Anolis sagrei: one gene and its partners. The protein of the gene in region 4 interacts with the protein of the main gene of each other region in a pairwise test. Links are inferred from orthologs where the notes say so. Each region holds a gene or a part of one and is shown on either strand. Other genes may lie near its edges. The genes, in order: DUSP19, CDC73, zinc finger matrin-type protein 1 and ALAS1.

Region 1 (7,331 bases), on a different chromosome or scaffold from region 4:
TTGTAAAAATAATGGAGTAAGCGCCTGACCATTACATGAAAAAAAATTAAATGGGCGTGTTGGAAAAACGTTACTCTTCTCTACTAAAAGAATGACAGATTCAAGCCTTTGGCCATTGGAAAAATGATTGAAATTATTTATTCAATAACTCAATCTTGCTTACTAAGTGAATCAGTAGAAAAAGAGACTCAGTTTATTTCTATTGAAATATGAAATGTAAATGCATGCAGCTGATGAAAATTCTTTGCACAGTAATTTTCATGGGGGAATTAATAAAACGTATCCCCACATACAAAGGTGCTAAATGCATGAAATAAAAGAAACTAAATTAATAATGAACCTTTGAAATATGCCTTTAGCATGACTTAGTGCACAGAAGTGTCTTATATCCAGTTTGGTTCCATTTGTGTATTTGATGAACCACTTTTCTCCAGGGTGATGAGCAAAGACTACTGAGTACTTTAGTGGATTGATCAATCAATCAATCATTTACAGATCCCCATAACAATACCATTATCTCTATCCCATCTTTTACCAATTTATTAACAGGAATAAAATGGGGGACAGTACAGAAAGGTTTACCAAAATCAAGATTGAACAACAATGTTTTTTTTTTGATCTACTAAGATACAATCTCTGTATGTTAGTAGTTGATTACATAACAAATTAGAAGGGCCATCAAAAACACTTCGAGGAGATTTAAAAGTTAACACTTAAATAGCAAATAGAGGTTTCGAAATAGTTGTGGCGTCCTAGCAGAACAGGGCTCAGAGAGAAGTAACACAATTTTTCTTCCAGGGTTATAAATGTCATTTCCTAATTGGTTCTATCATAAAAACACAGAAAATGTTTATTAAATTGCAAAACCTTTGTTTTTGTGGGACATCCTGCAGCACATTTTGCTATAGTTTTTCAATGAATATCTCATAGAGTCTCAACCTATTCAACATAGTTTGTGGCAGCCACAAAAACAAAGTTTCTGGAATATGACAACTACTTTCAATGTAAGTACCACACAATTAAACAGGAAATAATAAATTCAAACCATAACATATTCTTTTTCAAATTTTGTTACATAGTATATTTTTTTCTGTTCTGGGACAAATCTACTGAATTAAAAATAGCAGAACTGTTCACTCAAGGAAAGTCATGGTATGAGCTTATGCTGAAGATTCAAGTTGGCAGCAGAACCTAGGATAAAGCCATTTTAGGAAGCAGTCTCGTTTAGTAGATGCTTAGAGCCATGTGGGGTCAGACGGTCTACACACAGCAACATGCATTCCATGGCCTCTTGCTCCCATTATAATATTTCATCTAGAAAACAGTCTTGGGATCGAATATATAAATACACCCACCTACTCCAGATAGAGCTTTCCCCCAAACCTGGTCATGGGGGTTCTGTGTTTCAAATGTGGTCCAGGCCCATTGTCGGTAGGGGTCACAGTGCTGTGTCTTTATGCAGGGTAAACTACAACTTCCATCCTGTTGAGTCAGTCCCCCAACCCCCTCTAGTCTGTTCAGCTGCTGATCAATTCTTCCGTGCTGTGCGCTATAGGAAAGACAGCTCGGAAGCTCCAACGCTCGGCAGCCATGATTTTAACAGGAGCGGCGCACAGGGAGCATACAACCCCCCCTGTTGCGCCAACTCCACTGGCTACTGATCTGCTACCGGGCTGAATTCAAAGTGCTGGCGTTGGCCTTTAAAGCCCTATACGGCTCCGGCCCAAGCTACCTCTCTGACCGCATCTCTGCCTATGAACCCACCAGGACTTTGAGATCTTCCGGGGAGACCCTGCTCTCGATCCCGCCTGCTTCTCAAGCTTGGCTGGCGGGGACGAGAGATATGGCCTTCTCGGTGGTGGCTCCTCGGCTGTGGAACGCCCTTCCTACGGACATTAGACTAGCACCATCTCTAATGGTATTCCGCAAAAAGGTGAAGACCTGGATGTTTGTGCAGGTGTTATCGAGCTCTTTTAGGGGGCTCCCCCAGGAAGGAGAGCCCAAGGACCGCACCAAAAAGGGTCCTGGAAACCTTGGTGAGATCTTTCCGGAAGCCAATCCAAGAGCGCAAAAGTTATCTAAAAGCAATCAGCTCACCAGAGGCGAAAGGAGACCAGGATCGAGGCGTTTATTTGCGATTCAGCTGAATGGATGATTTACAGGAATCGTTCCACTGCAAAGCATGGTGGGGTACAGTGATGCAGGCATATTTATACAATTTTTGAAAACCCAGAGTTCAACCCTTCTGCCCCGGCTCCTCAGGTGTTCCCCGCTGTGATTGGGTGATGGGCGGACACCTGGGAAGCAGCCCTCCCGCCCCTGGCGCCTCTGTACCAATCAGGAAACTCCAGTGGTCTGTAGGATCCAATGGGGAGACCTCTGTCACATGGTGGCGACAGCCAATCAGGAGAAATGGGGGCGGGATGAGGGAGCACAAAGGAATCTGGGAAAGGAATCTGCAGACAAAGGAATGCCATGTGCTCAGCGAAACAAAGGAAAAATGTCTCCAGATGTTTGACAAACAAAGGCTTTCCTGTCCTTGATGAGTCTGGCAGGGAATTTGAATAGGCTAGATCGATATCGGACCACCCGGAGGGTCAACAATATCTGGGTGAATTAATCAGTCTCTTTTTCCGAAGCTCTGCTGACCCTTGTTCCTTCGCTGGCCATGCTCCGAGGGCTAGGGTTGGGGCCAGCAGCATTGTCCATGCAAAATGAGTCAATCAATGGGTGATTTGGGGGAAAGAGGCTTGGGCTCTGTCCCCAGGCAGTTCCTGGTCACGCTGGTTTTCTTGTGGGGCGAGGGTCAAGGGGGTGAGGATACAGAGGAGTTCATAGGGGTTACATATTTCATATTCATAAACCATAGGCATCACCAGTATACAGGCATTCCATATATCACCACCCACCACCCATCCCAACCCCAATCCACAGTAATAAGAAAATATTTTATTCATTTCATAAAAAGAGAGAGGAAAGAACTAGAAGTCCCAAAGTCTGGACGGAAGGGTTTTGGGTGCAGGGGCCAGTCCATGCATCAGGCTGGCCACCAGAAGATCAGTCCAAGGTCCGGGTTGGTCAACAGAAGATTGGCTCCTTCTAGGAACAGGAGCTGGAGCTGAAGGGGGAGCTGGGTTGGGTAGTAGCAGAGTCCATAGTCCAGTGCACAAGCCAGAGAATTCACAAAGAGGAAACAGGAACCCAGTTATGTGTGCTGGGTCAGGAAGCAACAGAATCCATTGTCCGGCCCTTGGCGAACTACAAATACTTGAGGGGGGGGGGGGTAAAGATGCTCCGCATCAATGGCGTTTGAGTAATTTAGTGCAATCTGGTAATGGAACATAGGAATGGAACAATGGACGACGAACCTGGACTACGCTTAGATGATGAGAAGATTGGGTACGGTTGTTTTTTGTAATAACTGTGCATTGTAATTGCTTATTGGTAATTTATGGATAATGCGTTAAGTCAATTGTTATATGTTGTATGGAACCACTGCTGTTTCTACTGTTTTTACTGTTTGTGAACCGCTGTGAGTCGCCTTCGGGCTTGAGATACAGCGGTATATAAGCAAAGTAAATAAATAAATAAATAATAAAAGCAAAAAATACCCAAAAATATACAATGCATGTGCATACCGCACACACACACACACACATATATGGCCACACACATATATTAACACACACAACACATATATGCAGACTGGGCCACAGCAAAGCATGGCAGGGGACAGCTAGTTTAAAATAATTTTGTGCATTAAACAATATTTGTCAACACTGAATGATCATAAATTAAAGTTGGTGCTATTTCAACCCTGGAGTATTTCAGAATTTCAGATGAGATGCTCAACATCAATATTAGGTGTAGCCCCTAGGAATGCATAGAAATAAACATACTTTCCTTGTGGAGCCACATGTGGTATGGGAGTGCATCTACAGTGTATAATTAATGCAGTTTGACACCGCTTTAATTGCCATGGCTTGGTGTGATGGGAGCTAAAAGACTATGTAACAAAATTTGATCAATCTTTTGTTCCTGGTTTGAAAGTGTCATTTCCTGATTAATTGTGCGGTACTTCTCTGCAAAACTACAACTCCCAGGATCCCCTAGCATTGAGTTCTGGCTGTTCAAAGTGGAGTCATATTCATCACACAGTGCAAAGGCGACGGAGGCGCGTGCCTGTTACTAGACACCCCACTTAGGCTGAAAGAAAAGAAGCCCTCTGACCAATCGGAAGCCGGCTTTCTGTAGCCAATCCAGAGCTGACTTTCACAAGAAACACAAGGCTGTTCTGTTTGCCTGCCTGTGCCTGTTGCTTGCAGATGGTTAGGCATCTCTGGGGAAGAGCAAGGAAGGAAGAAGGGTCGGTCGTGGGCACTTGCCTTTGCTTTGTGTTCGCCTCCCCTGGCCCATGTGATGCACTCGCTCACCCAGGAGATCCGATCCTTCTCCAAGACTAACCTGCGCAGGCAATGCACCCGGGTGACCACTTTGACCGGGAGGAGGCTCATCGAGACCTGGAAGGATGCTCGGCTGCAGGCGGTGGAGGTGGCCGACGGCAAGGACGGCGGGGGGCCCGCCTGCGGATACGTGCAGGACCTCAGCCTGGACCTCCAAGTCGGGCTCCTCAAGCCCTGGCTGCTTCTAGGTGGGTGGGAGGCGTTGCATTGGGATGGCCACCCGCTGCTTTAATCAGGAGGCATGGAAAGCCTTGGGTGCAGCTCCTTTGGAAAATGAACGCGTACCACTTTAACAGCCAAGGACGAATGCTATGGAAGCCTGGGAGCTGGAGGGCCTGGGTTCCATAGCATTCATCCAAGGCAGTTAAAGTGGTATGCATTCATTCTGCAGAGGAGATCACAGCTTTCTAAACTTAGTGTGTTTGAACACACTGTGCAGGCGTATCACCCAAATGTGATGAGCAACCTTATACACTCCCACATATCCTGATTATCACATCATCTGCTTCGAACTGGATTATATGAGTCTACACTGCCCTAGAATCCAATTCAAAGCAGATAATCAGGATTGATGTATTGTCGAAGGCTTTCATGGCCGGAATCACTAGGTTTTTGTGAGTTATTGTAGGTTTTTTCGGGCTATATGGCCATATTCTAGAGGTATTCTCTCCTGACGTTTCACCTGCATCTATGGCAAGCATCCTCAGAGGTTGTGAGGTCCTCTGTTATGAGTTTTCCAGGCTGTATGGCTATGTTCCTGAAGCATTCTTTCCTGACGTTTTGCCTGCATCTATGGAAGGCATCTTCAGAGGTTGTGAGGTCTCACAACTTCTGAAGATGCCTGCCATAGAAGCAGGTGAAACGTCAGGAGAGAATGCTTCTGGAACATCGCCATACAGCCCGGAAAACTCACAATGATCTGGATTGATTTTATATGGTAGTATAGAAGTTTATGTGAAATAAAATTATATATATATATTCACACAAATACACAAAAGGTTTTCATGAGATATGTTGTATGCTCATACATTTTGTTATTACAGTTTATGTATGTCTCCGTATCTCTTATAAGGGGTTAGATTTTTAATTGATTTTTATTAAAGTGGAAAAAGGGTTTCTTATACATGTAAAGTGGGGGAATAATAATGTTAAAAAAAGTAGGAAAATAGAAAAATAAAGGGAAGTTGTAAGAAGAGAAAAAATGTAAAAAATGTTCTATCACTTTTATCTACTCTTTGATGGTCAGATATTTCTAGTCTTCCTTTCCTTTCATCTTCTTATTTTACAGTCCCCAGTCTGTCTGTTGAATGTTTTATAAGGGGTTAGATTAACCTCCAGTTTTGCTAGTAAAACTGCCCTATATCTCAGGATGTAATCCCAGATTATTTGCTTTGAACTGGATAATATGAGTTTCCACTGCCATATAATATGGGATATGCAGGTAATCTGGGTTCAGAATCTGGAATATAAGGACAGTGCAGAAAGAGACTGTATTACTGTGTAACAGAATGATGCATGTCTAAAAAGAATATCACCAATATGAAATGCTTGGAAAGGTCTGAGATAGATTCACTCCTTTGACCCATTCTTTGTTGGCTCCATATTTTTTCATACTCAGTATGTTGTTGTTTTTGCATGTTTCTTTGGTGTCCAGAGTGCTCCTGATGTTAATTTGTGTCAAGTTGGTTTCAAATTACGGCAACCCTTTGAGTATGCATCTTAAGACAGTAGCATCTTAAGACAATAACTTCAAGAACAAAATTGGTAGCCAGTTGGTACAAAGTTCCCTTTGCATATTGATATTCCAGACTGTCACAGCTGTGTCTTTGGACTCTTCTACACTACCATATAAAATCCAGATTATCTGCTTTGATAATTATCGGGCAGTGTAGAAGGGGCCTTTGAAGGTGACTATGAATAAAAGTCCTCTGAAAGATTTTCTGTACAGTTGATCCTCTGTTTCCATAGAATCTGCCTCCACAAATACAATAATCCACAGGTTTAAAATATTCTTTAAATCGAAACACAAATGTTGTTTTTGCTCTTTTCTGTACGGGGCACCATTAAACTATGCTTGCGCATCTATGGATTTTGATATCAAATTGCAACAGATACCAAGGGCCAACTTTATGTAATTCTTTGGTGACTCCTTGGATAATACAAGCTTCTCTCATCACAGGATCACAAGATGCAGCTCATGATCTGGACACAATGAAAAAATACAAGGTGAGGACATGTTTGGGTTTGTTTGATTTTTTTTTACAAAAGTGGTTGCATATTTAAAGCCTGAAAGAATCACATAACGGTCTATAATAAAATTTGAAAAATTCTGTTCCTGGTTTGAAAGTGTTGCTTCCTGTTTAATTGCGAAGTATGTACTTTGAAAGTAATTGTTTCACTCCAGAAACTTCGTTTTGTGGCTGCCACAAACTTACGTTGAATTGGTCGAGACTCAATGAGGATATTAATTGGAAAACAAGAGCAAAATACGCTATAGGGTATCCTGTAAAAATATTTTTCAGCGTAATAAACTTTTTCCATGTTTTTATGATAGAGCCAATTAGGAAATGACATTTATAACCCAGGAACTTGTTACATAGTGTAATTTTTCATCTTCATATTGATTCTTCAATTTCAAATATGAAAACATAAGGACAATTTTAAAGCTGTCTATTGAAAACTATTTTTTTCTCATTCCTGTCCTTGGTTTCATGGCATGAAGGTGAAGGAAGTGTTTGTACCAGATCCCTTTGCTTGCAGTTTGACGTTCATAGCCATGTCAGAAGTTGAAGATTAAAAAGCTGTCTTGGTTTATTATCTGTCTAATGCATTTCAGGTCACCCATGTTCTAAATGTAGCCTATGGAGT
Region 2 (7,739 bases), on a different chromosome or scaffold from region 4:
CAAATGATTTAGCTACATTTTCCTGATTGCATATATTTGGTTTCATTTATTGAATTCTGGGTTCTTTTCTAAAGCAATAGGGCAAATCAGATGAATTAGTCACCACTATCTTTTACAGGATGAAAGTTAATCTAATTGCAGCTGACTTTGATACATAAATGCCAGTATGCAAAGAGGTCTTGCAGCACCTTGGAGATTAAGTGAGAGAAAGATGTTGGTACCATAAGTTTTTGTAGACAACCTCTACTTCTTCAGATGCACAGAACTAGAATGTTTCCATCATCATTCCAAGACAGAAATTAATAAGAAATATAATTTACTAAATAAGTTCAGCCACAAGGAATAAGATGCTATATACAGTCTCAGGAAAATTCTTAACAGTGTCATCAAAGAGGCTGACACAGGAGGAGCTGTAGTAATCATAGGGAAACTGGACTACATGGGAAGGCTGAGTGGCAACTGTCAAATTCATGCATCTGTGGAAGTAGATTTCAAACATGAAAGCTTATACTACCAACACACTTCTCTCAGTTAAGTCTCTGAGATACCACAAGATCCCCTTTGTATATTGATATTCCAAATGTGCACGCCTATGCCTTTAAAGAAACAAAAACCATTAGGAATTATTCCCAGATAAGTGTACAGTGAGTTGCTAGATCAGCTCAGGCGTAGCCTATCCAGTTCAACCAGGGTTTCCCTTTGCATACTGTATGAAACAACCCTGGGAATTTATGCCTAAATGTTTGGGTTAGGGCAGACACCACCCTTTACATTTTATGATCAAGATGGAAAGATTGCTTCAAGCAAAGGCAATAATAAGGAAGAGGAAACGATATAATTATGTTACATTATTCATCTCATCACAACAGCTCTTCAATGAGAAAGAAGAGTAGCTAATTGTTTTAGTAATAAAAACACATGTTTTGGTTACATGGACCTGCTTTTGTCTGATGAGATAGGATTGTTGTTGTTGTTGTGTGCTTTCAAGTCATTTCAGACCTAGGTTGACCCTGAGCGAGGGCCGGGTAAATGACCCTGGAAGGCCGCATCTGGCCCCCGGGCCATAGTTTGAGGACCCCTGTTCTAGAGGCATTCTCTCCTGACCTTTCACCTGCATCTATGGCAAGCATCCTCAGAGGTGAGGTCTGCTGGAATTGGGAAAAAGGGGGTTTATATATCTGTGGAATGACCAGGGTGAGACAAAGGGCTTTTGTAAGTTGGGCTAGGTGTGAATCTTTCAACTGACCACCTTGATTAGCATACAATGGGCTGACAGTGCCAGGAGCAAACTCTTCTTGAAAGGTGATTAGATGTCCCTGCCTGTTTTTCTCTCTGCTGTTTTTGCTGTTGCAATTTTAGAATTTTTTGATGATGAACTGAACCACCTCAACTGGGCTCTACAGGCCAATGGATATTCCACCTCAGACATCAGAAGAGCTGCAAGACCAAGAACAAGCCATGAGAGTCAAGATGAAGATCCACCCAGAGGAAAAGTGTTCCTGCCATACATCAAGGGAACCACTGACCGCATAGGGAAGCTGATGAGGAAACACAACATACAAACAATCTACAAACCCACCAAGAAAATCCAACAAATGCTACGTTCAGCAAAGGACAAGAGGGATCCTCTCACCTCTGCAGGAGTCTACCGTATACCATGCAGCTGTGGACAAGTCTACATAGGGACCACCAAACGCAGCATTGCCCAAACACGAATCCAGGAACATGAAAGGCACTGCAGACTACTCCAACCAGAGAAATCAGCCATAGCAGAGCACCTGATGAACCAACCTGGACACAGCATTTTATTTGAGAACACAAAAATGCTGGACCACTCTCACAACCACCATGTCAGACTACACAGAGAAGCCATTGAAATCCACAAACATGTGGACAATTTCAACAGAAAGGAAGAAACCATGAAAATGAACAAAATCTGGCTACCAGTATTAAAAAATTCTAAAATTGCAACAGCAAAAACAGCAGATAGAAAAACAGGCAGGGACATCTAATCACCTTTCAAGAAGAGTTTGCTCCAGGCACAGTCAGCCCATTGTATGCTAATCAAGGTGGTCAGTTGAAAGATCCACACCTAGCCCAACTTACAAAAGCCCTTTGTCTCACCCTGGTCATTCCACAGATATATAAACCCCCCTTTTCCCCAGCTCCAGCAGACCTCACCTCTGAGGATGCTTGCCATAGATGCAGGGACATCTAATTACCTCTCAACAAAAGTTTGCTCCAGGCACAATCAGCCCATTGTATGCTAATCAAGGTGGTCAGTTGAAACATTCACACCTAGGTTCTTGTGGGTTTTTTCGGGCTATATGGCCACGGTCTAGAGGTATTCTCTCCTGACGTTTCGCCTGCATCTATGGCAAGCATCCTCAGAGGTAGTGAGGATGCAGGCGAAACGTCAGGAAAAATGCCTCTAGAACATGGCCATATAGCCCAAAAAAACCCACAAGAACTTAGTGATTCCAGCCATGTAAGCCTTCGACAATACATTCACATCTAGCTCCAGAAGACAAGAGTCCTTTGTCTCACCCTGGTCATTCCACAGATATATAAACCCCCTTTTTTCCCAATTCCAGCAGACCTCACCTCTGAGGATGCTTGCCATAGATGCAGGCGAAACGTCAGGAGAAATGCCTCTAGAACATGGCCATATTGCCCGAAAAAACCCACAAGAACTGAGTAAATAAATATATTGTTGTTGATGATGGTGATGATGATGAGGCCCCCTGCAGTCTTTGGCAGAGAAAGTTAGGGAGGTTCAACTCTATAGCTTCTAAAGTGGTCTGGAACTGCATCCATCCCGCAGTGTGGCAGTCCCTTTTCTCCACTGAAGGCACCTGGCGAGGCACCCTCCCCTTCCTCCTCCTCCTGGCCCGCCCCTCCCTCCCTCCGACTCACCCCCAGATGACATAGTTGGTCTTGACGTTCTTGGGCCAGGAGAACTCGCCGAAGATCACCTCGTCCCCTTTGACCACGATCTCCTTCTTCTGCGTGTTGTACTGGCGCAGCACGCTCAGGACGTCCGCCATGGCTTCCGCCTGCCGCCTTCACCCCTTCCTTCCTTCCTTCTTTCAGTCAGTCAGTCAGTCAGTCAGTCGCGCTCTCTCTCGCTCGCGACTGCCGAGAGCGCGCTCCTTCCTTCAAGGCTCCCCTCACGCGCCCCCGGCCTTCGCTGACAGGGAAACAAACAAACCGACCGAGCGCGAGCCACCGCGCGAGCTGCCTCACGGACCGCCCGACTGGCCCAGCCACCGTCCTGCGCGTGCGCAGAGAAAGCAACAGAGGAAAGAGGACCCCGCAGGGCTGCCCTCGCTGACGCCTGCGCGGAAAGAGGACCCAATCGCCGCCCAGCTTTCTTGGGGTCCTTTTCGAGGCTTGTCCATGGCGCTGAGAGCGCTGCTGAGGCGGGAGCTGCGTCGCTGCTCTTGGCTCAGGTGGGTGGCATCCCGTCGGGCCTTTGCCTTCTCAAGTAGGCCTTTTGCCTTCACTCTGTCTTACCTCTGTTGACAGGCCGTTTTGGGTACGCATGCGCATTGTTGCCGCGCTCAGCTTGGGTCTCTCGGAAGACTCTTCCACACAGGCCTATATCCCAAAATATAAAGGCAGAAAATCCCACATTATCAGAGTGTGGACTCGGATAACCCAGTTCAAAGCAGATTTGGGGCTGTGTGGATGGGCCCTCGCTTACATCGCAGGAGAACACTGTGTTCCTAACTCGTCCTGTAGTGCAAGCAAAGAAAAAGGTACGATTTGGCAGTGAAGTCTCTTTGAAGGTGTAACTTCAGTTCCAATCTGGAGGGAATAGAGTGCCTCTGAGCATGTACAAGGTGAGGCAGCATAACTTCCTTTTTTCCAAACTTATCAAGGCAGAAACTCCCACATTATCTGCTTTGAACTGGAATATATGGCAGTGTGGACGCAGTTAACCCAGTTCAAAGCAGATAATGTGTTTAAGGAACTCCACTGGCTCCCGTTTATATTCCGAGCCCAATTTAAGGTGCAGGTGCTTACCTACAAAGCCCTGAACGGTTTGGGACCAGCCTACCTGCGTGACCGCATTTCCATCTACGAACCCTCGCGTTCTCTTCGGTCATCTGGAGAGGCCCTGCTCGTGATCCCACCGGCATCGCAAGCGCGCTTGGTGGGGACGTGGGACAGGGCCTTTTCCGTAGTGGCCCCCCAACTCTGGAACACCCTCCCCAAAGACCTTAGACAGGCCCCTTCATTGGCTATCTTCAGAAAGAACTTAAAAACCTGACTTTTCCGATGCACCTTCACAGATTAGGAAATCTCCACTACCGAGTCCCACAAGCACTTTACCACAACCAATGATTGCTGCACACCGCACATTGCACTTGCCCTAGAAACCCTTTATACACCTCCTGTCAAATCAGCACTTTTAATCCTTGTACCCACCTTTTGGCCCGGCCCAGTTTTATTGTGTTTTAATGTACTGTGCCTGTTGTTTACTTTGCTTTATTTTGTTTTAATTGTTTGATTTGCTTGATTGTATTGTTATGTTGTGTTGTTGAGGCCTCGGCCTGTGTAAGCCGCATCGAATCCTTTGGGAGATGCTAGCGGGGTACAAATAAAGTTTAATAATAATAATAATAATAATCTGCCTTTATATTCTGGGCTCTATGGCTTTCTAGAAGTGCCCTAAGGCTGGATCTGCACTGCCTTAAATCCCAGTATCTGATCCCTGATCATCTACTTATCCCAGATTTTCTGGCAGTGTGTATTTAGGGCCCTTCCACATAGCCCTATATCCCAGAATATCAAGGCATATATCCCACAATATCTGTTTTGAACTGGGTTATCAGAGGGCCCTTCCACACAGCCCTATATCCCAGAATATCAAGACAAGAAATCCCACATTATCTGAGTGTGGACTCTGATAACCCAGTTCAAAGCAGATAATGGGATATAGGGCTGTGTGGAAGGGCCCAGAGTCCACACTTCCGTGTATCTCGGTTCAAAACTGAAAATGTGGGATTTTATTCAGCTGTGTGGAAGGGGCCTCTGCTTTGAACTGGAATATATGGCATTGCGGACTCAGATAACTCAGTTTGAAGCAGATATTGTGGGATTTTTCTCCTTGATATTCTGGGTCGCCCTTCTTTGATTAGCGACGATTTGATTTGATAGCACACTCAAATCTTTGGTTTTTGTGGTCCTCTGTTAGGAGTTTCGGGACCCAGTGGGAGCACAGTTTCCTAAACTTTAGGTGTTCAGAAACAATGTTGTAAAGCACTGATCTCGACACGTCAGGAATTCGTTTGAGAGACCTGTTATTGTGAAGCGCCTGTTCTCACGAATCCTCGCTTCAACTGAAGCCACCAAATCATCTGTAATCAAAGAAGGGCGACCAGAGCGGTCCTCATCATGGACGTTGTCACGGCCATCTTTGAATTGTCGTACCCACTTACGCACTTTGCTTTCACTCATAACAGTATCACCGTACACTTCACAAATCTGTTGATGAATTTCTGCAGCAGGCAAGTTCCTTGCTGACAAAAACCGTATCGCTGAGCGAACCTCACATGCGGAGGGTGAGTTGATAGTCTTAAACATTTTTAAAGCACAGAACAGAACTGTACAGGTTAGCTACAGAGCGGAAACTGAGCACAGTTGTTCCCGAGGCATGCCAGTACACGACGCACGTGCTCGTTGCGATATGCGCGTGAACTACTAGTGTTTACAACAAAACGGACCTTACTTTAAAAATACCCCTCGTATATAGAATCAGACCCCATGTGATCTTAAAGGCTAAACAGGATTATCCCTGGTTAATACTTGGATCGGTAACAGCGCAGTGGTTCTCAACCTGGGGTCCCCAGATGTTTTTGGCCTACAACTCCCAGAAATCCCAGCCAGTTTACCAGCTGTTAGGATTTCTGGGAGTTGAAGGCCAAAAACATCTGGGGACCCCAGGTTGAGAACCACTGAGCTAATGAATCCCAAGTGCTCTGAGCCATATTTCTGAAGGAGGAACTGGCAAAAATACCTCCTTGTGTAAGAAAGCTCTATAAAAGTCATGGAGTCACCGTAACTTGACAGGCAACACATATTGTATGATGTTAAATATTAATATTAAAATCACAGTTCAGAAACCTGTGTGATAACTAAAGATAATTGCTGATATCGTGGACACATAACAACATAAGTTTTATCTACCTTGAGAGAAATATCTGTTCCAATCTGGAAAAAAGTAAAGAAGAATGTAAATACATAATATATCTGCAAGCATTTGGAAATTTTCCGTGAGTTATGATAAAAAAAATTCCATGTATTTTGGGGAAAAACATTACACCTTATTGGTTCAAGCTCTCCCAAGATCACATGGGAAGTTGTGTTCACAAAAAGGAATTTTCCACGATCTTCCCTCAAAACTGCTGTAAGGGGAATAGTTAGGCATACCACAGTGAAGGCTCTGCAGTACATTTGAGCAGGGAATTCAAGAGTGAGTTTGTCTGTTTGAAAGGTTGGACTACCCTGCCAGAAAAAAACAGCTATAATAGCAGGTAAGTCCAAATCATGTTAGCTTTCAAATTTTGATGTGTTGCTTAAGTCAGTTCATACTCTGGAGAGATCAAGTAGCTCATATCCATGTTGCTAAATTTGGGAGGCAAGAATTACTTCTAAACTCTGGAAATCATCTTATTGAATACTAGCCTTTCACTGCCACGCATTGCTATGGCCCAGACTGGTGATCTGGAAAATAAAGTAATGAGAAAGTGTTGGTTACTAATATATGTGATGTCTTTATGCTTGTGGGTAAACAGTATTTCTTATTGTTTCTTTGTCAGTGTTGATGTGGAGATTTTCTAGTTTGCCTACTCTGGGATATGTAACATATAATTGTCCTTCTTTAGGGGTCCCTTTCAAATCTATGATACTGTGTGTGTGAATCATATCTATCTATATCTATGGCTGGCTGGCTCTTTGTCAGGAGGGCTTTGATTACGTTTTCTTGCCCTGGTGAAGGGAATTGGACTGGATGGCCTTAAATATTTTCTGTTGGTCATGGGGATTCTGTGTGGGAAGTTTGCCCAAATTCTGTCATTCATGGGGTTCAGACTGCTATTGATTATAGGTGAACTATAAATCCCAACAACTACAACTCCCAAATGACAAAATCATTTTTTTAGAGTGATGATGACTCCTTGTGTTGTTAGGTGTATGCTATTCAATTCATCCAATGGTTTTTGAGTTACGTTAATCCCACAAACAAACATTACATTTTTATTTATATAGAAGTAGCGGTAGCCTCAAGTTGCAACTAACCTAACTCCTTGTTCTCCAAATATAGCTTAAAATTGTGTATGTTCAGTTTATCTTTCAATAAATTCCTGCTGGAAATACAGGTGCATAATTATACTGTAATCTAACATGCTCTCATTTAGGTTACATATTTACACTTCGGTAGGCTGAAATCCTGTAGCAGTTGCCCAAAAGTAAGCCCCGTTGAACGTATTGGATCTTTGAATACTATAGGATTCCCTTATTTATGTATTTATTTATTTATTAGAGATGGGAAACATTTGGTTGCCAGATTTAATTCACCAACAGCTCCTTTCAGCCCTAGACATGACAAAGGATGGTGGAAACATGGAGTCCTAACGACAATTGGAGGAATGCATTATGAGGTTGCTTTAAAAATGAATGAAAAAATACAATTGCTGGTATATGCTTTTTTCCTATTCTTTTCTGGTTGAACA
Region 3 (7,981 bases), on a different chromosome or scaffold from region 4:
GAAACCACACAAGTTGTCCACTCCATAGTTAAAGCATTATCAAGTTACTTTATACAATGAAATACCTTCCTCCACCTCACAGGGGTGGATTTTAGGATGTTTTTCTGTTTCTTGCTTGTTGAAGGGGTTTGCTTTTGTGTGTGCATTGACAATTTCACTCACTGTTACTGGATTTCTCACCCAATTCCTCATAGGCTGAAAGTCCTTGACATTTTTACTACATAGTTCTGGGTACATTTTCCCAGCAGTGTCCAATGAGCATTGTCTGTGAATCTCAACACCCATTGGACACACCGAGGAAGTGTAGTGAGGTTTGTTAATCCCTTCACACAAACTAACTCAATGCAGTTCCTACCACAAATAAATGTTTTCTTGATTTCAAACTCACGACTTCGTTGTACTTTATTATACTTTAAGGTGTATGCGATTTTGAGTGTTTGCCAGAAATGTGGGACACAAAATTGAGAATAACTTGAACTTGAAAGGAAAAAAACAAACAGACTCCCCTTCTCCCCTGTGATGTTAGAGCTCCTACAGGGCTAAATTCAATGTTAATTCTAACTAGAACTGGCCCACAGGAATCCATCGAACCTTCGCTACTTTTGACCACGGGAAGAAATCTAGAACTGCTCCACATTTTGTTGGATCACAATTCTTAGCATATTTGTAATGCATTTTAGCTACTCAGTTTTTTTATTACGTTGGTAAATGTGCATAATGTAACATATTTAAGTTTTTACTTTTTGGTTATTGTTGTTAGTCATTCTAAGTTTATATTGTTTTATTTATTGTGTTGATTTCTTGTTTATATGTTTTATTATGACACTGAATGTTTGCCACTTTTACTGGAAACTTCCCCGAGTCCCCTTGGGGAGATAGGGTGGGTTACAAATAGTCTTATTATTATATTAGCCGTCCCCTACCATGCGTTGCTGTAGCCTAGTCTGTGTATATGTGTGTTGTGTGTGTATATTTGTGTGTTTTTGTGTATATGTGTTTTTGTGCATGTGTTGTAATGTATTTTTAAAAACTTTTTGGCTTTTTAAGTTCCTTCTGATGTGTTTTTCAGTGTGTTTATGAGTGATGGTCACTCGTTGGCCTGATAGGTGTATTGTGTCCAAATTTGGTGTCAATTTGTCCAGTGGTTTTTGAGTTATGTAAATCCACAAACGAACATTACATTTTTATTTATATAGATCAGGGGTCCTCAAACGTTTTAAACAGAGGGCCTGGTCACAGTCCTTCAAACTGTTGGAGGGCCGGATTATAATTTGAAAAAAAGCAAACACCCATGAATGAATTCCTATGGACACTCCACATATCTTATTTGTAGTGCAAAAAAAACACTTAAATGCAATACAATAATTAAAATGAAGAACAACTTTAACAAATATAAACATTATTATTTCAATGGGAAGTGTCGGCCTGCTTTTGGCTGATGAGATAGGATTGATGTTGTTGCTGTGTGCTTTCAAGTTGTTTCAGATTTAGGTTGACCCTGAGTGAGGGCCGGGTAATTGACCTTGGAGGACCGTATCCGGCACCCGGGCCTTAGTTTGAGGACCCTTGGTGTACTGTGTCCAGATTTGGTGTCAATTTGTCCAGTGGTTTTTGAGTTATGTAAATTCCATGAACGAACATTACATTTTATTTATATAGATTATTATTGGCTTCCACTGTTAGCTACGAACCCACTGCCAAGACCTTACACTTGGAAAGTCATCCTACTCAAACACAAGTGATTGCTGATGATGACACACACCCTGAAGGATAGAACATTTTCAACAAGGGTGCAAATGAAGCACACTTTTTTTTTAGTGCTGACTGTGTTTGCGTTTGAATAGGTGCATATTTGTGTATTTTAAATTGTATACAAATACAAAGATAGAACATTTTCAACAAGGGTGTAAATGAAGCACACTTTTTTTTAGTGCTGATTGTGTTTGCGTTTGAATAGGTGCATATTTGTGTATTTTAAACTGTATACAAATACAAAGATAGAACATTTTCAACAAGGGTGTAAATGAAGCACACTTTTTTTTAGTGCTGATTGTGTTTGAATAGGTGCATATTTGTGCATTTTAAATTGTATACAAAGATAGAATATTTTCAACAAGGGTGTAAATGAAGGACACTTTTTAGTGCTGACTGTGTTTACGTTTGAATAGGTGCATATTTGTGTATTTTAAATTGTATACAAATACAAAGACAGAACATTTTCAGCAAGGGTGTAAATGAAGCACACTTTTTTAGTTCTGATTGTGTTTGTTTGAATAGGTGGATATTTGTGTATTTTAAATTGTATACAAATACAATGATAGAACATTTTCAACAAGGGTGTAAATGAAGCACACTTTTTTTAGTGCTGATTGTGTTTGAATAGGTGCATATTTGTGTATTTTAGATTGTATACAAATACAAAGATCGAACGTTTTCAACAAGGGTGTAAACGAAGCACACTTTTTTTTAGTGCTGATTGTGTTTGAATAGGTGCATATTTATTTTAAATTGTATGCAAATACTTTTATGTCAAGCTGTTTTGAGTTTGGGGAGATAAAGTGGGTATAAATATTATAACAATAATCGACGTTGGTGTGTGCTGAACCACCAAAAAGCAAAAATGTCCCTCACTGACCCACACAGATCAGCAAATTTGGGAGTATTTCAGGATTCTGTTTATGGGATGCACCCCCTAGACAAGTGGTTCTCAACCTGTGAATCCCTAGATGTTTTGGCCTACAACTCCCAGAAATCTCAGCCAGTTTACTAGTTGTTAGGATCTCTGGGAGTTGAAGGCCAAAACATCTGGGGACCCACAGGTTGAGAACCACTGCCCTAGATTCAAAGTGGGTCTGACCAAGTCATGGGCAAACTGCGGCCCTCCAGGTGTTTTGGACTTCAACTCCTACAATTCCTAACAAGTTATTAGGAATTGTAGGAGTTGAAGTCCAAAACACCTGGAGGAACACATGCTTGCCCCTTCTTTATCATCCTCGCCTGGACCTAGGTGTGTGCGGCCTAGTGCTGGAGGAGCAGGCGCTCTACCTGAGCAGGAGTCACTCCTCACTGTTGCCCCTCCGCGTCACTTCCGCCCTGGGCCCTCAGCAGCGGAGGGCTCTCCTTCTGCCTGGCCGGGCTCCTTCCTTTTCCCCCTCCTCACTCACTCACTCACCTGCTCTTTGGCCGCGGGGGGGTGTCGGCCCCGCGGGGGAAGGGGCGCCCCCTCCCCCCTCTGCCCTCTCCCGCCCCGCAGCAAAGGCAGGCGCAGCAGCAGGTGCCGCCGCCATGACTGCGGGAGCGGAGCGGAGCAGGCCCCGCCCACTACGCGCGAGAGGCCAGAGAGGCGACGCAGGAACCCGGATGTAGGAAGTCGCAGCCGCTCTCCCTCGGGTCTACTTTCAAACCGTCTCCTCCCCACTTTTCTGATTGGTGCGTGATTTCCAGCAGTCACCGCGCGTTGTCCAATCAGCGGTGTCTCCTCGCTCTGTGCTACCGCCTCGGATTCTATTTGCGGCAAGGCTCAGTTTGCTTTGGGAGGCTTTGCTTTGGGAGTGGGATCTGGGAAAGGTCTGGAGAATTGGATTGCCTTTTCTTGTAACGGGGGTACGAGAGCTGGAATTGAAATGGAGTTCCAATGTATGCCTGGGAGTCCCCGGTGGCTCAGTGGGTTAAACCCCTTTGCTGGCAGGACTGAAGACCGACAGGTCACAGATTCGAATTCGGGGAGAGGTGGATGAGCTCCCTCTGTCAGCTCCAGCTCCCCAAGCGGGAACATGAGAGAAGCCTCCCACAAGGATAATAAAAACATCAAATCATCCGGGCGTCCCCTGGGCAACATCCTTGCAGATGGCCAATTCTCTCACACCAGAAGCGACTTGCAGTTTCTTAAGTCTCTCCTGACACACAAAAAAATGTATGCCTCACTGTACCGTTTTATGGGGGTTCTGTGTGGGGGTTTGGCCCAATTCTGTCATTGGTGAGGTTCAGAATATTCTTTGATTGTAGGTGAACTATACATCCTAGCAACTACAACTCCCAAATGTCAAGATTTTATTTTCCCCAAATTCTACCAGTGTTCACATTTGGGCATATTGAGCATTCGTGTAGAGTTTGGACCAAATCCATCATTTGAGAACACAGAAATGCTGGACCACACCAACAACCACCATGTCAGACTACACAGAGAAGCCATTGAAATCCACAAGCATGTGGACAATTTCAACAGAAAGGAAGAGACCATGAAAATGAACAAAATCTGGCTACCAGTATTAAAAAACTAAAATTATAACAGCTAAACAACAGAGAGGAAAAAACCAGGCACAGATTAACACCTCCCAGCAACAGATTTTCCCAGGCGCAGGCAGGCCTTCAAATGCTAATGAAGGTGATCAGCTGAACATTCACGCCTAACTGCAGCAGGGAAGAGCTCCTTGCCCCACCCCAGCCATTCCACAGATATATATAAACTCCTTGTCCTAATTCCAACAGACCTCTACCTCTGAGGATGCTTGCCATAGATGCAGGCGAAACGTCAGGAGAAATGCCTCTAGAACATGGCTCTATAGCCCGAAAAAACCCACAAGAACCTAGTAAATCCATCATTGTTTGAGTCCACAGTGCTGTCTGGATGTAGGTGAACTACAACTCCAAAGCCAAAGGACACTGCCCACCAAACCCTTCCAGTATTTTCTGTTGGTCATGGGAAAACTGTGTGCCAAGTTTGGCCCAATTCTATCGTTGGTGGGATTCAGAATGCTCTTTGATCCCACCTGCATCACAAGCATGATTGGTGGGGACAAGGGACAGGGCCTTCTCTGTGGTGGCCCCTCGACTCTGGAATTCACTCCCCAAGGATATCAGGCATGCCCCGACGCTAGCAGTCTTTAGGAGGAGTTTGAAAACGTGGCTGTTCCAGTGTGCCTTCCCAGAATAGGAAACCCCAAAGCACTTTGTCCCAAATGTACGTTACTAGAAATCTAGGATTGTCTGCACGCCAAATCTTCTCCAAAAATACCTATCCATTTTACCCGGTCATGCCCAGTTTTTAAATTTTTTAATCCATTACAACTGGCCCTGACACTGATTTTAAATTGCGTTGTGCTGTTTAACGTCTATTGCTTGAGTTATTTATTGATGTATTATTGTTGTGTTGTTTATTGATGTATTGGGTCTCGGCCTCTTGTACGCTGCATTGAGTCCTTCGGGAGATGGTAGTGGATTATAAATAAAGGATTATTATTATTATTATTATTATTATTATTATTATTATTATTAATAGGTAAAGTATAAATTCCAGCAACTACAACTTCCAAATGACAAAATCATACATTGGGTTGTTAGTTGTATTGGGCCCAAATTTGGTGTGATTTTGTTCATTGGTTCTTTTTTTTAAGGTACTCATTATGCACAGAGCATTTTTATATATATAGATATAGATAATAATAATAATAATAATAATAATGATCGGCACACTGGGTGCAGTGCCTCAAGACCTTGGCCTGCACTTAAATACAATTGTCGCTGACAAAACTACCACCTGCCAGCTGCAGAAGCCACCTTACTGGGATTTGCATGCATTATTTATTTATTTAGTTATTTCAGATATTTCTATCCCGCCCTTCTCCCCACAAGGGGGGCTCAGAGCGGCCTTACATAAGCATCAAAACATGCTAGCAGCATAAATACCATACAAATACAATCTATATAAATAAAAATGTAATGTTCGTTTGTGGTATTCACAGAACTCGAAAACCACTGGGGGAATTGACACCAAATTTGGACAGCATACACCCAACAACCCAATGTATGTCCTTCACTCAAAAAAATTTGATTTTGTCATTTGGGAGTTGTAGTTGCTGGGATTTATAGCTCACTTACAATCAAAGAGCCTTCTGAACTACACCAATTATGGCATTGAACCAAACGTGGCATACAGGACTCCCATGACCAACAGAAAACAGAGATAAAAGGAGCAGATTATTTGCAAGGGAGAACCCATAGAGAAGCGGGGCAGTAAACAGGCATTCGTACCCTCACCCTTTCACACCTCAATGATCACCATGTGAATTGTGAATGTCAGTCAATGAGTGGAGCAGGCACCAAGGGAGTCCCATCCCTTGGGGATACAACACCCTCCATAAACAATGGTTCTCAGCCCAGAGAACGGGGCAGAGAACCATACTGTGAACCGCCCTGTGTCTCCTTCGGAGTTGGGAAAGGTCGTATACAAACACCGCCAATCTATATAAATAAAAATGTAATGTTCGTTTGTGGGATTAAAAGAACTCAAAAACCACTGGACGAATTGACACCAAATTTGGACACAAGATACCTAACAACCTGATGTATGTCCTTCACTCAAAAATTGATTTTGTCATTTGGGAGTTGTAGTTGATGGGGTTTATAGTTCACCTATAATCAAAGATGTGAGAGCTGGACCTTAGGGAAGGCTGAGCGAAGGAAGATCGATGCTTTTGAACTGTGGTGTTGGAGGAAAGTTCTGAGAGTGCCTTGGACTGCGAGAAGATCCAACCAGTCCATCCTCCAGGAAATAAAGCCCGACTGCTCACTAGAGGGAAAGATACTAGAGACAAAGTTGAAGTACTTTGGCCACATCATGAGGAGACAGGAAAGCCTAGAGAAGACAATTATGCTGGGGAAAGTGGAAGGCAAAAGGAAGAGGGGCCGACCAAGGGCAAGATGGATGGATGGCATCCTTGAAGTGACTGGACTGACCTTGAGGGAGCTGTGGGTGGTAACGGCCGACAGGGAGCTCTGGCGTGAGCTGGTCCATGAGGTCACAAAGAGTCGGAGACGACTGAACGAATGAACAACAACAACAACATAATCAAAGAGCATTCTGAACTCCACCAATCATGGCATTGAACCAAACGTGGCATACGGGACTCCCATGACCAACAGAAAACACTAGAAGCGTTTGGTAGGCATTGACCTTGAGTTTGGGAGTTGCAGTTCACCTACATCCAGAGAGCACTGTAGACTCAAACAATGAAGGTTCTGGACCAAACTTGGCACAAATATTCCATATGCCCAAATATGAACACAGATGAAGATTGTGGAAAATAGACCTTGACATTTGGGAGTTGTAGTTACTGGGATTTATAGTTCACCTACAGTCAAAGAGCGTTCTGAACCCCACCATCTACAGAATTGGGGCAAACTTCCCACGTTAATCCATGACTAACAGAAAACACTTAAGGACATCCAGCCCACTCCCTTCACCAGGGCAAGAAAACATAATCAAAGCCCTTCTCACAAAGAGCCATCCAGCCATAGATATGGATAGATATATATGATTCACACAGAGATATAGTATCATAGATTTGAAAGGGACCCCTAAAGAAGGACAATGATATGTTGCATGTTCCAGAGGAGGCAACCCAGACAATCACCACATCAACACTGACAAAGAAACAGCAAGAAATACTGTTTACCCACAAGCAGAAAGAAATTACATATATTAGAAGCCAACACTTTCTCATTACTTTATTTTCCAGATCACCAGACTGGGCCACAGCAACACATGGCAGGGGACGGCTAGTCTATATAAATAGAAATGTAATGTTCGTTTGTGGGATTAGCATAACTCAGAAACCACTGGATGAATTGACATGAAATTTTGAGGCAATACACCTAACAGTTCAACAATTCTTCATTACCCCTCAAAATACAAAAAACCCTCAGCAGAACTGACTTAAAACCCCCCCAGATACACCATACACATACACATGCACATACATATATATATACTCAAGCACACACAGATATGCACACACATAAATCTACACACAAATATATACATGCGCACATAAATATACACATGCACACATACATACACATATATAAACACAAATATGCATAAAGACAAGCATACACATATACACAATATACATATGCACTTATAAACACAGAAATATATACACACATATATACACATCTACACACACACATATGCACACAC
Region 4 (7,978 bases):
AATAGTTACAAGTTAGGCAAGAGTTACATAAGCAAAGAAAAAACTCTGACCTTAGTAAGAACTGAGCTATATGAAAAATAACTTTAAAACACTGGGATCAAAATTCATATATCACTGAACACAGAGAAAAACAAAGACCAGAGAAAACAGACCAAAGGAGTCTTGAGTCACCAATTCTAAAAAGGCATTTACTCCGGTCTGTTCCAGAATTACACAATTATACTAGGTTTCTTCTGGAGTCTTGAAACTAATCAATTTCTTAGACCATAATATTTTGTGGATAGATATCAGAAGCATGATCCTGCATTGACGTATTTAGTTATACCAAAGCCTGGAGTTAATATTCCATGCAGGCTTTCATAAACAGAATATTATGCCACAATAAACTGTATTCATGTGCAAATCCAAGGAACTCGATTGCTGCTTTCAAATCACCAAGAGGCAGGTGAGGGAAAAAATGTGAAGCAAAGGATTTGTGGAGGGAAAGATTGTCCCAGATTCTCATCTAGGTCCAGTACAAACACAGAGATGGGATCCTGAAACCTCATCTTGGTTTAGACCAAGCAACCATTTCCGAATACAACTTTAATTTCTTTTTGGAGATCAACACCAACGCCCTTCCCTTCCCCTCTCAGCTCACTAGGAATGACTGAGAAAAGGGCCTCCCTTTATCCTTTTCCCTTGTATTGGGACCCAATACAAGAATATGGGTGCATCTATACTGTACAATACTAGAGTTTGATACCCTCAACTTTCATGATTCAATGCTATGGAATCATGGCAGTCTGGTGAGGCACCAATACTTTTGGGCAAAGAAGATCTTGTTAAACTACAGTGCCCAGGAGTCTATACTGTTGAACCATGGCAATGTAAGTGGGATCAAACTCCATTCATTCTACAGTGTAGATGCACTCTTTTACCTCCCCCCACCCCCGAGCAGAATGAGATGGGACTCATTCCTGAGCCTCCCCTCTCAGGCTTCGGGGTCAAAGTCACTGTAGAATTAATGGAGCTTGACCCCACTTCAACTGCCATGGTCTAATGCTTTAATGCTATGGCATCCTGACAGCTATAATTTTACAAGATCGTTATTATTATTATTATTATTATTACTATGTTTATATCCTGCTTTTTCTCTCTATACAAAGAATCAAAGCGGTTCACAACTAAAAGCATTTCAATACAACTTCAAAAATATACAAATATTAAAACAGTATTAAACAACATTAATATTAAAACAATCCAGATTAAAACCATAAAAACACATAAAACCACAAAACAAAATCACAGCAGCCCTTGATGGTCTTTAACCTTCCCTGCCACAGTGATGGTGCCTCATCAAACTATAGCTCCCTCGATTCCATGGCAGTGAAAGTCGGGTCAAACTGTGTTACTTCCATAATATATTATTATTATTATTATTATTATTATTATGGAGCCCCCTGTAGTAAAATGAGTTAAACAGTCAGTGGTTCAAATCTGGGGAGAGCGTGGATGAGTTCCCTCTGTCAGCTCCAGCTCCCTATGCGGGGACATAAGGAGCCTCCCACAGGATGGTAAAACATTTAAAAACCTGCGCGTCCCCTTGGCAACATCCTTGCAGACGGCCAATTCTCTCACACCAGAAGCGATTTGCTGTTTCTCAAGTTGCTCCTGACACGAACAAATATTAATATTAATATATGATATTATAATAAAGCAGTCCCCAAATTAAAAACATCTAACTTACAATCGACTCATAATTAAAAACTGGGATGAGACAACAGTAAGTGAAAGAAATCTACCCCTCAGAAGGGAAATTCAGTCCTGAAAGAGTTATCATGGGGAAAAGGTGTCTCAACTGAAGCTTTCTCATCAATCCTTGTTTCCACAACAAGCCATTTTTTTCAAAATCGAATTATCACAGGAACAGTAAGTGAGGTGAAATCTTCTGAACAGAGGCACAGACAACAAAAATAATAATTTTTAAAAAACCCAACCACAGGGGTGCCAACCTTTCCCCTTGTGATCCATAGCATATATATATATAGTGAGAGTGAGTGAGTGAGAGAGAGAGAGAGAGAAACAGAGATATTTTTTCTTGTCCTGTCAGGAGCGACTTGAAAAACTGCAAGTCGCTTCTGGTGTGAGAGAATTGGCCGTCTGCAAGGACGTTGCCTAGGGGACGCCCAGATGATTTGATGTTTTTATCATCCTTGTGGGAAGCTTCTCTTATGTCCCCGTATGAGGAGCTGGAGCTGATAGAAGGAGCTCATCCGCCTCTCCCCAGATTCGAACCTGCGACCTGTCGGTCTTCAGTCCTGCCGGCACAGGGGTTTAACCCACTGTGCCACCGGGGGCTCTGTTAAGAGAGATTGAGTTACACTTTTAAAATATACATACTAATACAACTTAAGAACAAACCTACAAGGACCTGTCTTGCTCGCAACTTGGGGATTGCCTGTATTTAATTGTAATAGTAATAATTACTATAATATTATAATAAGCCATAATAATAAATGTCTACAACAATAGAATAGTGTAAGAGGCATCCTTTTCTGCCAAGAGCCCGGGATAGGCCCCATTCCCTCTTCTTTACGCAAACTTAAGCGGCTGAGGGGGGAAAGTAAGGGGCCTGAGGCTGTTAGGAATTGTGGGAGTTGAAGTCTAAAACACCTGGAGGGCCCAAGTTTGCCCAGGCCTGCCCTTGACCCTCACACAGGGACACAGTCTAAGCAGGGCAAGAGGAAAGGGAGAGGAAGAGGTTGCCCTTCTTGAGTGACAGGGCCTCCCTTGGCCACCTTCTTCCTCGGAGTTTAGAGGGCAAGGCAGACTCAAAGACCCCCCAAATCCGGGCAGAGAGGGCTCCCCTCAACCACGGCATCTCCTGGGAGCTGTCCAGCGCCCGGAATGGGACGAGGTCAAGGAGAGATGGAAGGGGAAAGAGGCCGCCCCCACGAACAGCTCCGCCCGAGGGAGAGGAAAGCCAAACCGACTAGGCCCCGCGCGCGCGCGCTCCCCTCCCTCCTTCCTTCCCTTTCACTTCGTTCCCCCCTCGCGCTCATTTTCTCTCATGCGCACGCGCACTCCTTCCCCCCTCTTACCTTTCCAATGAACGACCCTCACAACTGCGATCTCTCTTCCTCTCTTCTCTACAACCGGCCCCGGCAGCTTGGCTTCCCTATATAGCCAATCGCGAGGGGACAGGGCGCATGCGCAAATGCCGCCACCCCCCCCACCCCACAGCCGCGCATGCGCCCAATTGTCAAGGCGATCCTAAGAGGCCAGCTTTAATCCCTCCCTACTTTCTCCTCCTCCACCCCCTCCTTCCGCTTCTCGTAGTTTCTTCCTGACCTGGTTGGGAAGGAAAGGAGAGGGAGGCCGGGCGGTACCAAAGCGGAGTCGGGGGGGGGGGGGGGGAGGAGGAGGGAAAAAAGGGAAGGGAGCTGGGTGGGGATTGGGAAAGCTACAGCTTCAAGTCACGCTATAGAATTGAGACAGTTGGGTCCCACTGGAACTCCCAGTGAAGCACTAGGCCGAGGAGGCTAAAGACCAAGGTTATATGAACTTTACACTGTCAGATAATCCAGTTCAAAGATGGATTGTATATGTCAGTGTAGAAGGAGCCTCAGCGCTCTGAAATCGTGGGATCTATAGTTTCACAAGGGGCCCTTCCACACAGCCCTCTATCCCAGAATATCAAGGCAGGAACCCAGTTCAAAGCAGATATTGTGGGATTTTCTGCCTTCATATTCTGGGATATAGGGCTGTGTGGAAGGGCGTCTTGTGAAACTATAGATCCCACGATTCCAGAGCACTGAGGCCCCTTCTACACTGGCATATAAAAATCCAGACTATCTGCTTTGAACTGGATTATCTGGCAGTGTAGACACATAATGCAGTTCAAAGCAGATGAACTGGATTATTTTCTTTAATAATCTGGATTATGGAGGACCCGGAGGCGCAGTGGGTTAAAGCGCTGAGCTGCTGAGCTTGTTGATCGAAAGATTGCAGGTTTGATTCCAGGGAGCGGTGTGAGCTTCCGCTGACAGACCCAGCTCCTGCCAATTTAGCAGTTCGAAAACATGCAAATGTGAGTAGATTAATAGGTACTGCTCCGGCAGGAAGGTAATGGCACTCCATGCCGGCCACATGACCTGGCCTACGGACAAAGCCGGCTCTTCGGCTTACAAATGGAGATGAGCACCACACCCCTGAGTTGGACACGACTGGACTTCATGTCAGGGGAAAACCTTTACCTTAATCCGGATTGTATGGCTGTGTAGATGGGGCTTGAGCCATGACATTTATTTACTTATTTATCATTTCAAAAGCGGATTGAGTGTACAGTTAAAATGTATTTAAAACACAAAGTTAAAAACTTGGCATTATGCTAAATTTCCTTTGACCAGAAGCTGGTGTTGCTCTAAGAAGGTCCTCCATTGTGCATGTGGCAGGGCACAGGCTGTACTGTAGTAAGTGGTCTGTGGTTTGCTCTTCTCCACACTCACATGTTGTGGATTCCACTTTGTAGCCCCATTTCTTAAGGTTGGCTCTGCATCTCGTGGTGCCAGAGGGCAGCCTGTTCAGTGCCTTCCAAGTCGCCCAGTCTTCTGTGTGCCCAGTGGGGTGTCTCTCATTCAGTATCAGCCATAGCTTGAGGTTCCGGGTTTTAGCCTGCCACATTTGGACTCTTGCTTGCTGAGGTGTTCCTGCGAGTATCTCTGTTGAAAACTATTTCTTGATTTAAGACATTGGCGTGCTGGCTGATATCCGAACAAAGGATAGGCCAGAGATGTCAATGTCTTGGTCCTTTCATTATTGGCTGCTCCTTCTTGACAGATATCAGGTGCTTAAACGGTATAATTTCTCCAGTGGTGTGGGGCGTAGACATCCTGTGATGATGCAGCATGTCTCATTAAGAGCCACATCAACTGTTTTAACATGGTGCAATGTATTTCACACTGGGCATGCATACTCAGCAGCAGAGAAGCAAAGCACATGGGCAGATGTTTTCACTGTGTCTGGTTGTGATCCCCAGGTTGTGCCAGTCTGCTTTCATACGATGTTATTTCTAGCGCCCACTTTTTGATTGATATTCAGGCAGTGTTTCTTATAAGTCAGAGCATAATCCAGAGTGACTCCCAGGTATTTTGATGTGCTGCAATGCTCCAGTGGTGACATGAGAGAAGCCTCCTCGCAGGATCATAACACATCCAGGCATCCCATGGGCAACGTCTTCGTGGACAGCTGATTCTCTCACATCAGAAGCGACTTGGAGCATGCAACCATGATAATTGAAATAGTGTCAAACTGCATTAATCCTACAATGTAGATCAGGCATGGGCAAACTTCAGCCCTCTATGTGTTTTGAACTTCAACTCCCACAATTCCGAACAGCCTACCAGCTGTAAATATACCTATTGTCAGAGGCTGATGACTGCATCAGTGTGCTACCATTGCAGGAACTTGGATATCAAATGGTGGGCATTATATCTTGCGGCCGCCATAGTGTATATGTAGCTGCTGTTTATTAATGCTTTGGATCATAGGCTGTTTTCATACAAAGAAATGCAACATAAAAGTACTACATGAAATGATTGGCACATCAATTGTGCTTATTTGTAGGCCAAAAAGTAACTTTCCTCAAGCGCTAAAGAATGGGGAAGATTGTGGGCACAGAAGAGGTAGTAAAGTGCATGGGGTTGCTGCCTTATTTCCACGCCTAGTTTTATGATTCTAGTATCATGTGAATGTTTTTATTGTGTGCCTCCAAGCCATTTCCGCTTATGGTGACCCTCTGGTGAACTTCTTATGGGGCTTTATTGCCCAGATTTGTTCAGAAGGGGATATAGGGATTTGCCTTCGAGGGATATAGGCTTTGGCTGGGTGACCCCTCTAAACTGTTTACCCACAACACTGTTTGACTCAAGGGCAGCCCAGTTTTTAACAAAAGTGTAACTACTAGTACTGCGAAGGAGTGCCTATCTGTTTGTAAATATCAGAGTACCTTCGATACTTTGGAAACTCACATTTCAAAAGAGTTGTCTGTGTTTACCCAACAAGGAGGGCAAGGCTTTCTGCATGTGCTCAGTGTGTGTCTTTCCTGATTATGGAACGGCTAGTTCAAAGGTTAGGACCTGGCACCATTCATTATCCATGAGGGAATACTGGTCTGAAAGTTTATGTAGGTTGTATCTACACCAGGCACGGGGAAACTTGGGCCCTCGAGTTGTTAGGAATTGTGGGAGTTGAAGTCCAAAACACCTGGAGGGGCCAAGTTTCCCCATGCCTGAACCGGTGGTGCAATGGGTTAAACCCTTATGCCGGCAAGACTCAAGACCGACAGGTCGGACGTTCGAATTCAGGGAGAGCGTGGATGAGCTTCCTCTGTCAACTTCATCTCCCCTTGCGAGGACATGAGAGAAGCCTCCCACAAGGATAGCAAAACATCCGGACATCCCCTGGGCAACGTCCTTGCAGATGGCCAATTCTCTCACACCAGAAGCGTCTTGCAATTTCTCAAGTCACTCCTGACACAAAAAAAACCTGTAGAATGAATGCAATTTGACACAACCTTAACTTCTGTGGTTTGATGCTGTGGAATCCTGGGAGCTGTAGTTTGTTGAGGCACCAACTCTCTTTAGCAGTTAGGGAAAAAGGCTTTGTAAAACTACAACTCCCATGGTTCCACTGCATAGAGCCATGGCAGTGAATGGCCAAACCATATCTGTTTTAGATGCACCCATAGATAAGTCCAAAGCTTGCCTCCTGAGTTGTGGGGTGCAAGCACATCTCTACATGTGTCTGTTACTCCTCTCTGTACTTTTCTTTGATCACGGTTTAAAGTCTTGGCCCTTTCAAAGGCTTAGGTACTCCACATTTTAGATCAGGGCTCCTCGAACTAAGGTCCGTGGGTCAGATGCAGCCCTCCAAGATAATATATCCACCCCCTGCCCTAAAATTTAGACAAAGTGTTGCCCTAAGTCTGAAATGATTTGAAGACACACAACAATTCTAATTACTGTATCTTGACGATCTCCATCAGCCAAAGCAGGCCCACACTTCCTACTGAAATACTAGTAAGTTTATGTTGGTTAAATTTTTTCTTCATTTTAAATGTTGTACTGTTGTTTTGGGGTTTGTTAGCACTACAAATAATATATGTGCAGTGTGTATAGAAATTTGTGTTGGTTTTTTCAAACTATAGTATGGTCCCCCAACAGTCTGAGTGACTTTGAACCGGCCCTTGGCTTTAAAGGTTTGAGGACCTCTGTTTTAGAGTTGCCTTTCTTTATTTGTTCAGGACCAAACTTAAAAGTATCAGCTACAATGATCTTGAATGTGTTCTCCATCCACCAGCAAGTTCAAACAGTGAGATGAGCCATCTGCGTCAGTTGAGAAACTCTTCCCGCAGAAACCATGAAAAGCTGATCTTAATCCTTTTTGTTTTCACTGAATTCCAACAGCTGGGGATTGTGATCACTTAAGAGTTATTCAATTTAGAACAGGGTCCTGTGTTTAATCTGCTCTTCTCTTATACTCTTAGGAAGGGGATGAGTGGAGCACTGTTGGAGAACAAGCCAGTTCTGGATGCTGATTTTTTTTTTCTGCTTCTCACAGTAAAGTATTCAATGAAAAGAGAAGTCTAAGAAGAAGAACCAAAGCAAACAAAATATAGCTGTTTTGGACTTGTGGAACAGGGTATGTGAGTGGTTCAAATCAGAATTACTGGATCCTCAAGCTTGGAAGGAAGAGAACAAAAAGGCAGAATACATGATACAATACATCTATGTGTACACAGTGTTTTGCATAGTTATAAAAGGGCAGTAACCTTTTCCTTACTGTCTTCTGTTCAAACTGAGATATGGTTCAGATGAAGGAGGCTTTTTTTATAGCCAGGGAAAGGAGGCAGGAAACTAGCTGGAGACGGGGTTGGGCTGTTCCTGGTCTTTGCGTGTGAAATCTTCCTACGGCATCCAAGCTGTGATTCAACAGC

Evidence for each region.
Region 1: the proteins of ALAS1 (region 4) and DUSP19 interact in a two-hybrid assay, tested with the Homo sapiens proteins (3 studies listed by BioGRID and IntAct). The two-hybrid records come from large-scale screens. The link is inferred for Anolis sagrei from reciprocal best matches to the Homo sapiens genes ALAS1 and DUSP19.
Region 2: the proteins of ALAS1 (region 4) and CDC73 interact in a two-hybrid assay, tested with the Homo sapiens proteins (3 studies listed by BioGRID and IntAct). The two-hybrid records come from large-scale screens. The link is inferred for Anolis sagrei from reciprocal best matches to the Homo sapiens genes ALAS1 and CDC73.
Region 3: the proteins of ALAS1 (region 4) and zinc finger matrin-type protein 1 interact in a two-hybrid assay, tested with the Homo sapiens proteins (2 studies listed by BioGRID). The two-hybrid records come from large-scale screens. The link is inferred for Anolis sagrei from reciprocal best matches to the Homo sapiens genes ALAS1 and ZMAT1.

Annotation. Positions count from the first base shown.
Region 1 is NC_090021.1:187,170,225-187,177,555, reverse strand, and holds the start of DUSP19 (dual specificity protein phosphatase 19), read left to right. Parts: upstream 1-4,226; 5' UTR 4,227-4,419; coding exon 4,420-4,651; intron 4,652-6,642; coding exon 6,643-6,689; intron 6,690-7,299; coding exon 7,300-7,331.
Region 2 is NC_090024.1:116,057,617-116,065,355, forward strand, and holds the start of CDC73 (parafibromin), read right to left. Parts: upstream 3,285-7,739; 5' UTR 3,048-3,284; coding exon 2,917-3,047; intron 1-2,916.
Region 3 is NC_090026.1:52,619,192-52,627,172, forward strand, and holds the start of zinc finger matrin-type protein 1, read right to left. Parts: upstream 3,336-7,981; 5' UTR 3,288-3,335; coding exon 3,173-3,287; intron 1-3,172.
Region 4 is NC_090022.1:69,143,106-69,151,083, reverse strand, and holds the start of ALAS1 (5-aminolevulinate synthase, non-specific, mitochondrial), read right to left. Parts: upstream 3,206-7,978; 5' UTR 3,084-3,205; intron 1-3,083.